Drosophila melanogaster: one gene and its partner. The protein of the gene in region 1 interacts with the protein of each later gene in a biochemical or structural test. Each region holds a gene or a part of one and is shown in the gene's direction. Other genes may lie near its edges.

Region 1 (4,832 bases):
TTTCATGTTTTCTAGATGATCAACCAAGCGACCCGGTGTGGCAATTATAATATGCGGCTTCTTGGCCAGTTGAAGACCCTGGGCTACCATGTCCATGCCGCCGACTACCACGCAACACTTTATGCCAATCCCGCTACCTGAAAAAAACAGAGCTAGCATAAGTTTGGCAGAAGGAAATTCAAGAATACGATAAATGGGAAGGTTTTTTTACTCAGAGGTAGTGACGAATAAGAAAATTATAATTTCATATTTTCGTTGATACACAAAATCAAAACAGGTTTAACATCACTGCGAATTAAAAGCACATAAACTATGCGAAAACTCACCAAGGGCTTCAAACTGCTCGCCAATTTGAAATGCCAGTTCCCTCGTGGGGGTTAGCACGAGGGCAAAATACCGCTGCGGATTCTCGAGAAGGGCGTGTAAAATTGGCAGAGCGAAGGCGCCCGTCTTGCCGGAACCGGTCTCCGCTAGGCCAATTACATCCTTGCCCTGTAAGGCGACCGGAATGGCCTCACGTTGGATCTTCGAAGGCGCCTTCCACTTCAATTCGTCACATGCTTGACACAAAGCCTCATTGAGACCCTTTGAAGAAATATGGCCATTCGATTAAATTTTAATTTAAATTAATAGTGGGGCTCATACGAGATCTTTCCAGGTTAGCTTCTGTTCCTCGGCTGCGTCGTCCTCGGAGCCTTTATCATCTTCACCACTTAGTGCCGCCTCGCTGTCCCCTTCCTTATGATTGTTATCTTCATCTTCCTGCTCCTCCTCGCTACCTAGATCCTCCTCTTCGTCACTCGTTTGTAGCTGCGTCTGTTCGTCCTCTGAAGTTTCCGACATTTTGTTACATGAGTTTCAGAAAAATTTCACGGTACGGACATTACCAATAGCAGCACGTGGTCGAAATAAAAGAATTAGAGGCGGTAAAATAGAAATAGAACTATTTGCGATATTATCGATATAGTTGCGTCTTTAAAACAGTGCAGATTCATGATAACTTTCGATAGCTAATGTGCGATATATCACATGCACACTTAATAAAATTTGTAACTCATTCATACTGAACCATGATCTTAATTACAGGACTTAGTTATAGTGCAAATAGTTTGTTTCGGAAATATATTCACATTTGTATAAAATCGTAATTTGTTAGAAAATTGTTTAATATTGTGATTTTGTCATTTCAGTTAATATAACAATGTTTGAAAATAGATGGTGAATACAAATTTGGTATACATCTTTTTCCATCGCGCAATTTTAAATTAATGAAACGCCAATTAGAGGGTTGTCTGTCATGAACTGTCAACGAATAAAAACTGTTTGACATTTTCATACACAAATGTTATTGATGCTATTATTAACAATTCCGTTAAATCCGGAACAAAAGATTTCTGAATAATTGTCATTTTTAATTGTATAGAAATATTAAAGACAATAAAAGAAAAAAATAGTTGAAATAATTTAACTGACTTGTACTTAACATTTTCTTATAATTTTGGATATTCGAATTTTAATCTTCGATTTTGTTTATTGCGATCTGTTGATGTTTTGGTTAGGTATACATTTTCGTATTGTGTTAAATGCATCATACTGCCGACATAATTTTTATGAGGTTCACTGTAGAAGTAATATAATTAATATATTACTCATAGTCAGTAGTTGTTTCATTTATTTAAAAATCCGTTAGCGGCTAAAAACAAAAACGTTGCAGAATAGTCACATCCAACTTAAGGTCACCGTACTTTTCAACACTTGCTTGCTATAATCACAGAAACAAGCGACGGTCACCCTCCTTCGATTATTAGTCCGTACCTATCGGAGCCTATCGTTCGTCGATATAGGATCCTATCATATAAAATATTGATTAAAATTTACGCAAATACAAAATTTTCTTGTTCCGATGAAAAGTAAGCAACAAAATTACAGTTAAGAGGGATATATAAGAGAATAACGTGTGCGTTGGCGGGGACCATACCACATCATTACTTATCAGTTAATTCGTGGCTATGCGGTTGACAAGTGAAAACGCCTACTAAAGAGAAACTAAAACCTTCAGAAAGCGAGTAAAGGGGGCAATCTATCTTTACAACCTGTCCATTGAGATCGCTTAATATTTTTGGAAATGCTTTATAGGTAAACCATAAAAATCCATTGTGAAAATTTGTGGGGGTGGTGGATACTGAATAGGCGATAGACGTAGTAAAGAGAGCGGCGAAAAGAGTGCGGAGCGAAAGAGTTTGTATTTGATGTGTACTCAAAAGTAGCCGAAGAGAGCGCACTAATACACACGCATACGGAAAAAGGACGATAAAGAGGAAGAGCTTTCCGTGGAAACTAGGATAAAGTGTTTGCCCAAAATGAACTCGGCGGTGGATGCGTGGGCTGTGACCCCGAGGGAGCGTTTGAAGTACCAGGAACAGTTTAGGGCACTCCAGCCGCAGGCAGGATTCGTTACCGGCGCCCAGGCCAAAGGGTTCTTCCTGCAGTCCCAGCTGCCGCCCCTGATCCTGGGCCAAATATGGTATGTATATTACGCCCCCATGAATCATCCACCGATAAGAGTGTTAATTCTTACTCATTTTCTTATCTCCAGGGCTCTGGCGGACACTGATTCCGACGGCAAGATGAACATCAATGAGTTCAGCATAGCCTGCAAGCTTATCAACCTCAAGTTGCGCGGCATGGACGTTCCCAAGGTTCTTCCTCCCAGCCTGCTGTCGTCTCTTACCGGCGATGTCCCCTCGATGACGCCACGTGGCTCCACAAGCTCCTTGAGCCCTTTGGATCCACTCAAGGGAATAGTTCCGGCAGTAGCTCCAGTTGTTCCCGTTGTGGCTCCACCGGTGGCTGTGGCTACTGTCATTTCACCGCCTGGAGTCTCAGTGCCGTCTGGCCCCACACCCCCCACCAGCAATCCACCTAGTCGCCACACGTCTATCTCAGAGCGAGCGCCATCGATCGAGTCTGTGTAAGCATCACTTAGAATCGAATTAATGATTTAATATTATTAATGTAGCAAAGAAGAGATAATTTAATTAATTAAATTTCAAATATTCTTAGTTATTGAAATATTAGCAAAAACATATATATAATATCGTATCTGTTCTTAACTCCTCAATCAACTTCTATCCTTTTAGCAACCAAGGAGAATGGGCCGTTCAAGCTGCCCAAAAGCGTAAATACACGCAGGTGTTCAATGCTAATGATCGCACCCGATCTGGTTACTTAACTGGATCCCAGGCACGCGGCGTTCTCGTACAGAGCAAGTTACCCCAGGTCACGCTGGCCCAAATCTGGACGCTGTCCGACATCGACGGCGATGGACGGCTGAACTGCGACGAGTTTATTCTTGCCATGTTCCTATGCGAGAAGGCCATGGCTGGTGAGAAAATTCCGGTTACCTTGCCCCAGGAATGGGTACCGCCCAACTTGCGCAAAATAAAATCGCGACCGGGATCGGTCTCAGGGGTGGTATCCCGTCCTGGCTCACAGCCGGCCTCCCGACACGCATCTGTTTCATCCCAAAGCGGAGTGGGAGTCGTGGATGCTGACCCAACAGCCGGACTACCTGGACAAAGTAAGTGCTTAATTAACTCCGTTGCCAAACATGTGAATATATTCCATATATTAACACTTGTGATTTCGCGTTCACCAGCTTCCTTCGAAGACAAGCGAAAGGAGAATTATGTTAAGGGTCAAGCAGAGCTGGATCGTAGGCGCAAAATTATGGAGGACCAGCAGCGCAAGGAGCGGGAAGAGAGAGAGCGAAAGGAGCGTGAAGAGGCTGATAAGCGTGAAAAGGCTCGTTTGGAGGCCGAGCGTAAGCAGCAGGAGGAACTAGAGCGACAGCTCCAACGCCAGCGAGAGATTGAGATGGAGAAGGAGGAGCAGCGCAAGAGGGAACTGGAGGCTAAGGAGGCGGCCAGAAAGTAAGGACTTTTATCTTGCTTTGAGCGACAAAACAATGTATACAATTTCTATTGTATCAGGGAGCTTGAGAAGCAGCGCCAGCAGGAATGGGAGCAGGCTAGAATTGCCGAAATGAACGCACAGAAGGAGAGGGAACAAGAACGTGTTCTAAAGCAGAAGGCACACAACACCCAGCTTAATGTGGAGCTCAGCACACTGAATGAAAAAGTAATGTTCTTAAAGTACAACTAATCTATATGGCTGGCCTATCTAACTAACTCGGCTTAATTACAGATCAAGGAGCTTTCGCAGAGGATTTGCGACACTCGTGCCGGCGTGACAAACGTAAAGACCGTTATCGACGGAATGCGCACCCAGCGCGACACTTCCATGTCCGAAATGTCGCAGCTGAAAGCGCGGATTAAGGAACAGAACGCTAAACTGCTTCAGCTCACCCAAGAGAGGGCCAAGTGGGAGGCCAAGAGCAAGGCCAGCGGGGCTGCCTTGGGAGGGGAGAATGCGCAGCAGGAGCAACTGAATGCCGCATTCGCCCACAAGCAGGTGAGCTTTGGCATATACGTAAAGTTTTAGTATTCAACGGATTCTCTAAAATACTATTTACCTTTTTCAACAGTTAATTATTAACCAAATAAAGGATAAAGTCGAGAATATCAGTAAAGAGATTGAGTCAAAGAAGGAGGACATCAACACTAATGATGTACAGATGTCTGAGCTCAAGGCCGAGCTCTCCGCTCTAATCACAAAGTGCGAGGATCTGTACAAGGAATACGATGTGCAGCGCACCTCGGTGCTGGAATTGAAGTACAATCGAAAGAACGAAACTAGTGTATCGTCGGCCTGGGACACAGGCTCTTCCAGTGCTTGGGAGGAGACGGGTACGACTGTCACCGATCCCTACG
Region 2 (4,943 bases), on another chromosome or scaffold:
TCCGATGTTATTCCAAATTAATAGAATATATGTTAATATTTTTATAATCTGAAACACGGAAAAGACAACAACTAAAATGCAATTTAAATTATTAAATAAAAATGAGCAAACTTGGTTATTTAAACACTTGCCTGTTATATGGCATGTTACTCTGCAAGCAACTGTCGAAAATCAACTTTTATTCTGTGAATTCTTAGATATGAAGTTAAATGAAGTGCAAATAAGCTATCCCCCAAATTAAAGTGGTCCAGAGTGCTCGAAATTATCGTCCATCTCTAACGCATTTTAAAAACGCAAGTGGCTGGTCTCACTCATGTTATTCCACATTATATTTTGTATTGCATTCTATTTTATCTAAGCTAGCAAATATATTTAAGGCAACTAGACTAAATGTTAAGCATTCGTGTTTTAAGGCTACAAAATGGACACTCCGTTCTTAACAACGCCTGCCAATTGGCACTTTCGCGAAACAAGAGCTCCAAAAGGTCGAGCAAAGACAACGTAACGCGACAGGGAAAAATATTTGGCTCGTTGTTTGGAAATCGGCTTAAAGGCAGCAAAAGCCATTGGTATCCATCGCCCGATGCAGGAACATCAGGCAATCAAAAGTCGCTGCACGCCTTAAAGTTTGGAACCCCACACTCGAAGACAACTTGCAGCCACAACAATCGACGCATGTCTGTTCTGAACAAGTTGTTCATGACGAACATCACTGATATTCTGGCCACCGGCGCAGTTGCCGATTCCATCGTGGGACACGGAGTGCAGATTTCCTATGTCAAGATCACCAGCGACTTCTCCCGCATCAATGTCTATTGGATGGGCAAGGATGGCGGGGAGAACCAAGAGCTCGAGAACACATTGAATCGCATGAGCGGCAAACTGCAGCACGAGCTATCGCAGCTCCATCTGATGGGCGAAGTGCCAAAGATCAAGTTTGTCCGGGACAAAACGAGCACTGGTCTCCATCAGGTCCACGAGGTTCTGTCCAAAATCGATCTTCAGCACAGTTACTCTAGTTCAAATGCGGAAGTTGAAGAAAGCGACGCACAGAGTTGTCAGACGGCTGCGGATGAGGAATGGCCGGAGATGCGACAGGATTTCCTCAGTTTTAACCATAGCTTAGTTATGGACAAGATTCTCGGCAAGATGCGCAAGTCCAAAGATGCCTGGGTTAATCATAGACAAAATATTGCGAAAACCTAACGTTTGTTAAATCCCTCGACTTATGTACATAATGTTAATTATTAAAGTGTTATTCAATCCAATGTAAATTGGGTTCTAAAGTTGAAAATAGGGGTAGGGTCTGTAAACGTTTAATCATTTTCCAATAAGTTTGAAATGTTGGCTACTTTTATCCCAACTAGTTCATCATGTTGAGTGGTTTTAAAATAGAGTATCGATTGCGTTTCTAAAAAAAAGCTTTAACGGCTTAAAATTGAATGTCAAAGGTCAAATCATTACCATACTCGATTATGTTATTATGCTTTTAAAGCTTGCGCACTGCATCTGTATCTGTTATCGATATAAAGCAAAAACGCAGAAAAGCCGGACATGCGCATAAAATGAATAGTTTTATAAGCTTTTAGTATTGGTTATATATTCCCTTCAGGATATGCATATTGTAGATGTGCATTTAATTTAATAAATAGATAGATAATTACTTGTAAGTTAATGTAATCAAATCAGCTGTTTTTGATAGTTGCGATAGTAGGCGACCTTGCGCTTAAATTGATATCGATGTCGGATAAAGCACTGGACTTGTTATCGAAACCAACACTTAGCTTCGGCATACGGAAACTATTCGATATATCGATGTATCGCGAGTGATTCACCCAGCCCTATCAATTATACCAAAAAAAATCAGACCAGACCAGCTTATCGGGTACAGATTGATTACTTTCTTGCATCTCTAGTTTTAGTCGAAAAAATCCATTGAAACGATTTGGAAGCGGAGTGTGGTGATAGTTGTCAGTTTTGCACAATAAGAAGAATATTTGTTTAAAAGACCAAGCCAAAGCCCAAATCGCAGTGCGCTCTTTGTGGCGATAAACATGACATCTACACTAACACAACACAGTTACGCCTGAGAAATAAGTGACAAATTGGAAAAGTCGATGATAAATTCGTTTGGGAGTATATATACAAATTATTTTCGTGTAAATGTCGATAAACACTTTTGCTCGCAAAACCCAACAATCATACCCGTCTTTACCTTCTTCGCGATTCCAATTCCGATTCCAATAAGTTTCGCTACATCGCCATTATAATCCGAAGAAGCAAGAAAGGTTATTGTGGTGGTACATACAATATATCGGGTTGGTTAATCGTGTGGGAGAATGAGTAACTCATGAGTGCTCTCCAATAACGATTTCTGTTTGCAATTTTCCCCATTCCCCCACGATTTACGCATATTTGTTATTAACCACCACCCCCACCGCCGCACACAAATTTTGTCAATTTTTTTTTTGTGTTATCTATACAAACGAAAAGAAAAGTGATGGAACGCATGAAAGTATTTATAATGCAGCAATTGTATTTTGCAGAGGAGTGTGTGCAGTGAAGTAAAGCCAGCGATTAAAGGAAACAGCATAGAAAAAAAAAAGACCCGGGAGCTGAGCAGTAAAAACACAAACATCCGGACGAGTTGGGATCGCAGTTCGATCTGATCTGATCTGATATCTAATCTAATCTAATTGTGAGGGAAATCGGACCTCGCCGCAATGGATAGTTTAATTACAATTGTTAACAAGCTGCAAGATGCGTTCACATCGCTCGGCGTCCACATGCAACTGGATCTGCCGCAGATCGCGGTGGTCGGTGGCCAGTCAGCTGGCAAGAGTTCCGTTTTGGAGAACTTTGTGGGCAAGTGAGTATCCCCCGCACGCCTTATCAGCATATTATCCTCTCATATGGGATCATACTATCATACCATATCACCCTATCAGCACCCCAAATATCTAGCCTACATATATTGTGATTGATAATGGACCTGAAGAGACCCCTCTTTGGCATGCAGCGAATCGATTTTTCTGCACGCCAGTGCTCAGCGAAAAGTAGCGCTATTCTTTCTATTATGTCTGCGTTTCGTGGAATGCCCAATTAAATGTTACTGAAAAACTATGAGTAATCGCTGATAGCACTCGCTTTCAGGCATTATTATTATTTTTTTTTTTTTTGGTTGTTTATTAACAATCAATAATTGGTGTCTACGAAACAAGTGTACTTGCTCATAATGACCAAACCATATCAGTGGTCTTAACTTAATTATGATAATAAGAATTTTATCTTTCACCTGCACAAAGCTGTTGAAAATCCAAAAGCCCCGCAGCTCTGCAAACTATATTCACAAAACGAATTGTAGAACATCTACGTATACGTATTTTGAATTTTGTTAAACAGAAATCTAAATTGTATGTATCAATGCGATTTCTTGTGTGTTTGTATCTATAAGCCTGCGCTGTCTCTCATTTTTCTTTGTTAGTGTCCACTCTAAATACAAACATATAAAGAAAACAATGGCTTACGCCCCAAAAAAATGCAGATAAGGCCAAAATGATAGTGTGTCGGCGATTTAAGTTTTTCCCCACTCTTGCCCAACGATTGAGTAGAGTAACTCACATTCTATATGTTTACTTTCGAATATATTTGTAAAAGTTTGACCTCCTTTAGAGTCGATTTATTTATTTTTCATAGCTTGCAAATAAGGGGGGGGGGGGGTGCGCTGAAAAAGAACATTAATCAATATGCCCATTCATGTATTTACAAACTGCATTGAGCCATGTAAAGTTTGTGCTTACATAAGTCCACTATGTTCAAAATAGTCCAGTTAGATTTCGCATGCGCCGTGCTTTATATGTATGTATGAATGTATGTATGTGTGTCAATTAGGGTGGTTACCCCGCCCCCCGCCCACCTGACACCACTGAGCCATCGGAGGAAGCGAGAGAGGCAGCGAGACCCACGGCCACGGCAGGCCAAAGTCTTAATGTCAATGGAAAATGAAGGCTTCTTCTAACTCTGGTCAGTGCGAACAGGATGTAGGTGACCAGAGTGTTCAAAATGACCCATTTACCATTTGATTTATTAGCCTAGCTAACAAATAGCTTTACTTTAAGTACTCAGTGGTATTAAACAATGCCCAACACTTTTGGAGTCCTGAAGTTCTCACTTGGAAATTTAAACACTAGCTGCAAGTCATAAGTTAAATTTCCATTAAGTTTTTAGTATTGGCAACTCAAATACTCATTATTCGATGCAATTTCAAAATGTTTTGATACTAGGCTTAATGCTTTCTACATACTTCTTAAGCCCAGTAGTAATATTGTTAGATGAACAGGCTCCACAATCCAAAAACCAAAGACTTCTATGATTCCATTATTAAATACAAAACGTTTTCCCCATTTTACAGAGATTTCTTGCCGCGCGGCTCTGGTATCGTAACTCGGAGACCACTAATCTTGCAACTGATCAATGGAGTTACCGGTAAGTTGAGCATTTGATATGATTAAAGAGAAGCTATCTTCTAATGCTAACATTGATATTTATTGCAGAATATGGCGAGTTCCTTCACATTAAAGGCAAGAAGTTTTCCAGCTTCGATGAGATCAGAAAAGAAATCGAAGATGAAACGGATCGTGTGACCGGTAGTAACAAAGGCATTTCAAACATTCCAATTAATTTGCGCGTCTACTCGCCGCACGTACTCAATTTAACCCTGATCGATTTGCCAGGCCTGACAAAGGTGGCCATTGGCGATCAACCGGTGGATATTGAGCAGCAAATTAAGCAGATGATATTCCAATTTATTCGCAAAGAGACTTGTTTAATTTTGGCTGTGACCCCGGCCAATACGGATCTGGCCAATTCGGATGCCCTCAAGCTGGCCAAGGAGGTGGATCCACAGGGTGTGCGAACCATTGGCGTTATAACCAAGCTGGATC

Evidence for each region. Proteins that work in one complex are often made in the same cells at the same time.
Region 2: the proteins of Dap160 (region 1) and shi form a complex in vitro, tested with the Drosophila melanogaster proteins (2 studies listed by BioGRID, with this or other methods).

Annotation. Positions count from the first base shown.
Region 1 is NT_033779.5:21,139,317-21,144,148, reverse strand, and holds the start of Dap160 (dynamin associated protein 160), read left to right. Parts: upstream 1-1,801; 5' UTR 1,802-1,910; intron 1,911-2,136; 5' UTR 2,137-2,360; coding exon 2,361-2,524; intron 2,525-2,596; coding exon 2,597-2,971; intron 2,972-3,140; coding exon 3,141-3,580; intron 3,581-3,658; coding exon of another isoform or gene 3,659-3,670; coding exon 3,671-3,932; intron 3,933-3,992; coding exon 3,993-4,140; intron 4,141-4,206; coding exon 4,207-4,473; intron 4,474-4,546; coding exon 4,547-4,832. Other genes in the region: pths (porthos), read right to left, coding at 1-137, 327-585, 646-843.
Region 2 is NC_004354.4:15,890,282-15,895,224, forward strand, and holds the start of shi (shibire), read left to right. Parts: upstream 1-1,918; 5' UTR 1,919-1,970; exon of another isoform or gene 1,971-2,300; intron 2,301-2,546; 5' UTR 2,547-2,723; coding exon 2,724-2,869; intron 2,870-4,411; coding exon 4,412-4,485; intron 4,486-4,553; coding exon 4,554-4,943. Other genes in the region: CG15916 (uncharacterized protein), read left to right, coding at 391-1,206. UniProt on the Drosophila melanogaster protein: Microtubule-associated force-producing protein which is involved in the production of microtubule bundles and which is able to bind and hydrolyze GTP. Implicated in endocytic protein sorting.